2 linked regions of the Mus musculus genome follow. The protein of the gene in region 1 interacts with the protein of each later gene in a pairwise test. Links are inferred from orthologs where the notes say so. Each region holds a gene or a part of one and is shown in the gene's direction. Other genes may lie near its edges.

Evidence for each region. The genes of interacting proteins can lie anywhere in the genome.
Region 2: the proteins of Meox2 (region 1) and Naa10 interact in binary tests that used the Homo sapiens proteins (3 or more experiments, as listed by UniProt). The two-hybrid records come from large-scale screens. The link is inferred for Mus musculus from reciprocal best matches to the Homo sapiens genes MEOX2 and NAA10.

The regions. Positions count from the first base shown.
Region 1 is NC_000078.6:37,177,281-37,180,189, forward strand, and holds the end of Meox2 (homeobox protein MOX-2), read left to right. Parts: intron 1-872; coding exon 873-1,097; 3' UTR 1,098-2,254; downstream 2,255-2,909. UniProt on the Homo sapiens protein: Mesodermal transcription factor that plays a key role in somitogenesis and somitogenesis and limb muscle differentiation. Required during limb development for normal appendicular muscle formation and for the normal regulation of myogenic genes.
Region 2 is NC_000086.7:73,916,325-73,919,060, reverse strand, and holds the end of Naa10 (N-alpha-acetyltransferase 10), read left to right. Parts: intron 1-1,108; exon of another isoform or gene 1,109-1,133; coding exon 1,134-1,218; intron 1,219-1,774; coding exon of another isoform or gene 1,775-1,865; coding exon 1,866-2,102; 3' UTR 2,103-2,191; downstream 2,192-2,736. UniProt on the Homo sapiens protein: Catalytic subunit of N-terminal acetyltransferase complexes which display alpha (N-terminal) acetyltransferase activity. Acetylates amino termini that are devoid of initiator methionine.

The DNA.
Region 1 (2,909 bases):
AAAAAAAAGTGCTGACAAATCTAGATCTTGTGAAATAAGTTAATCAATATGAATTCATGAATTTTTTTTTACTGAGGTGGATTGTCACATTCTCTTGAGTCCTTTGAGGAAGTTTCTGGGTATTCACCCGGGCAGGGGCGGGGGATGCAAGGTAAATACTGAGGAATTTTTACTGTGGCTGCATTCTTTGGCAACAGTTCAATGATATTTCTGAAGTAAACGTTAATAAAGGCAAGAGCAGAAAGAAGACCAGTAAAGACAGACTTCCTGTAGAGTATCAGGAAACCAACTGTGCTAGGTCCTGCAGACAGTCCCCAGTTTAGCCGTGGTGGGCTGGAGACTCTTCTTCACGATAGTTTTATTGGGACACCATTCCATATAAATCAGGAGCATCTGGTCCTTTACTGAGGTGAATTATGCCCCCCATGCCCCCCGCCGATCTGAAAGGATGTGCTGAGAGATAATTCATGCCTTTCCAAGTTAAGGGACTTTCGTAGTAAATAGTGCGCTTTCAGAGGTGGATTTACCAGCAGATAAACCTGTAAAAATTCTACTGTCAAGTCAAAGATGAATTTCAGAGAATGTGTAAACTTTGATAGAGGTAAACATAATATTTTATTTGATCGATGAGAAACTCCACTCCAATGCTTCCGAGCAAACTTCCTCGCCTATTTGTAACTTTGTGTTATGTGTTGGAATTTACGATAATTCTTTGAATGTACTAAGCCTTTTCCATTACTACGCACATGCAATCTAACTCACTGCAATCCTGCCTGTTTTTTCTAATTGCTGCATCATGGTGTATGTGCGCAGGCACTTGAGCAACTAGGTCCTATTGCCTTTGCTGACTTACTTATTCCCTCTCTTTGAAGGTGAAAGTGTGGTTCCAGAACAGGAGAATGAAGTGGAAGCGGGTCAAAGGGGGACAGCAAGGAGCTGCTGCCCGAGAAAAGGAACTGGTGAATGTGAAAAAGGGAACGCTTCTTCCGTCAGAGCTGTCAGGAATCGGTGCAGCCACCCTCCAGCAGACAGGGGACTCACTAGCAAACGAGGACAGCCGCGATAGTGACCACAGCTCTGAGCACGCACACTTATGATACCTACAAAGACCAGCTCCATTCTCAGGAAAGCACCATTGTGATGGCAAACCTTACCGAACATCGTTTACATGGCAGATGTCTGTGGCAGTGTGGCTTAGTATAATTAAATGCAGGCATCTCGAGTCTGTGTCTCATGATGGATAGACGGTTTACACTAAGTGCCTTTTATTGAAGATGCTTCCACAGTGAAATTGGAGAAAGCGAACGTATTCCAAATACACTTGTTCCTATATATGACAGAGAGGGAGATGGATGTTTGCTTTGGCTTGCACTGAAAATTAAATTTGCTACCAAGAGCAAACTTGATAAGACGTTTTTACTCAAGATGTCTCCAGAGTGAAGATGTTAAAAATAAAAAATGCTTTGAACATTCCAGTTGTGCCAGGTCATGTGTGTGACACTAGGCAGGTATTTGCTTTTGCTTGCACTGAAAATTAAACTGCTATCAAGTTAATCCATGAAATAGTTTATCTTGAACAGCCACAGTGCCTGAAATCACCAAGTGGATATAAAATGTACTGAAACTCTGTATATATTACCCCTAAGTCATTTTTCCTGTCTTCACTAATTTTAGCAAATGCATTCATATTAGCTGATTAAAAATAGGCTTTTCCATTGACAAACACAGCCAGCTTCTTGTATTTTTATACATTTGTGTCAGACAGAGAAAATCAGTATGTGCTTACTTGTGTTCAAGTAGATAAAATGCAGTAGAGTCTGATAGGACATATCCTTGTACCACAGACAAAGCAAATCTTCTGTTGCATTGACTATCAACTGCTGCAGATACATTAGAGAACATACCTAGCTCCCCTCCAGCCTTCTTCTCTTATATCTTGAAAGACATTAGGATCATAGGCAAATCAGTTACCTTGCAGAACGAGTCTTGTGCGGCAAATGTCTGATTTTACATCTTTAAGTTGTTAATGTTTATGGGTCTGATTCAATTAACAGGGAAAAGCTTTCTTCCTCCTTGTTTATGATATAAAACCAAGTGCCAAACAAAGCTAATTCTTCAAGAGAATAGTTGAGAAACTGAATGTCTGACAATTAGACTCTGAAAGTGCATTATTTTTCATATGCTCTATATTCATGCAGAACAAGTTCTTGTATTTTGTAAAAAAAAAAAGATAAATAAATGATCCTTGAAATAATTATTGTCTCGCCACTGTGACTTCATTGGGTTTGGTAGATTTATTCTTTTATTTGGGATCAAGGCTGGTCTAGATGTCATTAGGTGACTCAGCTTGGCACTGACCTCTCAGCAATCTCTTGTCTCAGTCATCCAGGTGCCAGAATCATAGACTGGATCAACCATGTCTAGTTAATTTTAGTAGATTTGAAAAAAATAGATGCTTAAAAAGATTCCAAATTGTTTGCTTCTGTGTAAATCTAAATGGATATGAGTTATGAAATAAGATTCATAATTTCTGGTTTTTATTATGGCATAAAATTTGTAAGAATAGGCATATATATACTGAGCAATGTTAGGTAAATGAAATGGAAACATATTACAGGAGCTATAGGTAATGCATGGGCATTAGCCCAACACTTTTAGTTTATACTTATCTAACTTTTCAGTACTTAGTGAGAAACCCAAAAACTCACTCGCGGTAGATATATGCCCTACCATTGAACTCCCTGACCAGTCTGCAAATAGATGCTTCACGTTCATGATCTCTAGCTTTGGTGTGAAATATGAGATGAACAAACGTAAAAAGAACCCCACTTCTAACAGACATTGTTGATAGAAGAAAAATAAGGTGTCTCATTGCACAGCCAGTGTCACATCTAAGAGGGTGTCAGGAC
Region 2 (2,736 bases), on another chromosome or scaffold:
GGCATCTCCATGAAGAGAGGACTTGGTAGTACCTAGTGCTACTGGAAAATGGGGCTGGAGTAGACTAACTTGAGAAACCACTGAACCACACTAGACTTGGAGGGTGTCCAGTGAAGATGACACCATTGGGACAGGGTAGTAGTCTTCAGCTTTTCTGGGTTCTACATCCAGATTCATGGAGGGCTCTTTGACGTAGTTAAGACGCCTCTGCAACAGGAACTGCTTTAGCTGCTAAGTCAGCAGTTTCCAGCTGGGTATGGTAACACACGCCTCTTAATCTCTGCACTCAAAGTAGACGACTATGGCTTGGAGTTCCAGCATAGTGAGTTCCAGGTTAGTCTCAACCACATAGCAAGACCCTGTCTCAATTAAGCTTAATTGTGAGGACGTGTGTTTGATCCCTAGCACCCATGCATAAAAGCCATATACAGTGCCCCGCACCTGTTATCCTAGTGCTGAAGAGGTTAAGACAAGAGAGTCCCTGGGGTTCACTAATCAACCAGCCTAGTTGAATGGACAAGTTCCAGATTCAGTGAGAGACCCTATTTTGAAAAAATAAAAATAAGGTGGAAAGCAACTGAGGAAGATACCCAACATGTACCTCTGAAGACTGGCAAGGAACCTTCCTAGGTCATCAAAGGGCTTCCCTTCCAGTGTCAGGGCTACTCAAGTGTGCACACACACCTCCCTCCCCTCCCTCAGCCATCTGGTCAGTAACCAGGTTGTCTATGCTGACTATCTACATGCAGGTACAGTGTCCCTTTTTCCTAGCAGAGGAACTGGCTATGTGCTCAGTAAATGATAAGAAGCAGGTCAGGGAGAGGAAGAAGCAGAACTAGGGGCTTCAACTGAAAACACAAGTCCTTGCTGGTCAGGCTAGGGACAAAGTGGTAGCAAGTCTAGGAATGGGAAGTACCCTGGATGCTACATGCTGCTCGGCTTCACTGGAAAAGCAGAGATAACTATCACAGCAGTTGGACAAGAGTTCATTCAAATGAAAAACAAAAAGGAGAAGCCCATTCACACTGGCTTTTTGCCTCTACAAAGGTTCTATGGGGGAGATGACATTTACCCCAGTAGCCTAAGAACCAGGAGAATTTGCCCCTAGGCATGTGTCTTGATCCTACCCCCAGGATCAGCGAAGTGGAGCCCAAATACTATGCAGATGGGGAAGATGCGTATGCAATGAAGCGGGACCTCACGCAGATGGCTGATGAGGTAAGAGTTCAGCCAGTCCAGGGCAGCAATTCCAGCAGCAGGGGAGATTCTGTACTTGGGAAAGGTGGCTACTTTAGAGCTGTGAGACTGAGTGAGGCAGTGGTGGCTAGAGGCAAGACCAAGATTGAGTGTCAGCCCTTGTCGTTGTAGAGCCCCTCTTTCCCTCACTTCCTAAGCTGTCAAGTTGTGACATGGCCTCTGTTGACTCTAGAGGGGGCTATGGGATGCTTTCTAGGGAAGAAGCCTGGAGGTGGGTGGAACAGGAGAGAGAGTAGGAAGATATTTTTCTAGGGAGAGGGACTACTAGGGTCAGGGGCAGCCTGCTCAGATTTAGGACTAAACTGGGCTAGGGGGAAAGGGTCTCTGACCAAGCCTCCTGGGGAGGTACTGCTCTGTCTTGGAGGCTCCCCAACAGCACATTTGAGGGCAATAGGACCTTTGTCATTTTACAGATGAGGAAAGCAGGCTTAGGGCAGAGCTAGGATTGAACTACATTTCTACCCAGTCCTATTTCTTGCCTTGGCCCTACCACTTCTCACTGTGTCCCTTCCCCCAGCCAGCCTCAGGGCCTGGCTCCTCTTGTCTCCTGTCTGGAGACTTAGGCCCTGTCTCTTTCCACCCGCTTCCCTCTGGGCTCCTGGCGGCAGCTGAGGCGGCACCTGGAGCTGAAGGAAAAGGGCAAGCACATGGTTCTGGCGGCCTTGGAGAACAAAGCGGAGAACAAAGGCAACGTGCTTCTGAGCTCAGGAGAGGCCTGTCGTGAGGAGAAGGGCCTGGCTGCTGAGGATAGTGGTGGGGACAGCAAGGACCTCAGTGAGGTCAGCGAGACCACAGAGAGCACAGATGTCAAAGACAGCTCAGAGGCCTCTGACTCTGCCTCCTAGAACCTGCCCCACCTGGTCCCAACCTTGCCCCATGTGCTTTTACAATAAATGTCACCCAGTGGCCTTGGGAAATTTGTGAATGTGCATAGTGGGGTATGCTTTTTTTTTTCCAGTTCCTATGTGTCAGGGATACTATCTTCACAGCCTAGACTGTATTGAGCTCACAAGTCAAAACAGATTTGAGGATGGGACCCCAAATCTGACTATCTTCAACAACTGAGTTGAAGTTGGCAGGTAAACTGTTTTGGGTGCTATATTCTTTTTTTGTTTTTTGTTTTTTTCTGGTTTTTCGAGACAGGGTTTCTCTGTGTAGCCTTGGCTGTCCTGGAACTCACTTTGTAGACCAGGCTGGCCTCGAACTCAGAAATCCGTCTGCCTCTGCCTCCCGAGTGCTGGGATTAAAGGTGTGCGCCACTACGCCCGGCTGGGTGCTATATTCTGATGTCACGTGTCTGGCCTATAGGCCTCATTAATGTCCTTTTTGTCCTAATGTAATTTTCTAGGGCTGAACAAAATGATTTCCTGGGCTTTCTAGTCAGCCTCACATTTCAGAGGCAGCTCTCCTACCTTGATGTTCTTTGCTGTACTGCTTTGCCCCCTTATGCCCCTCTCAGCCCTTTACCCTAGGTCATAC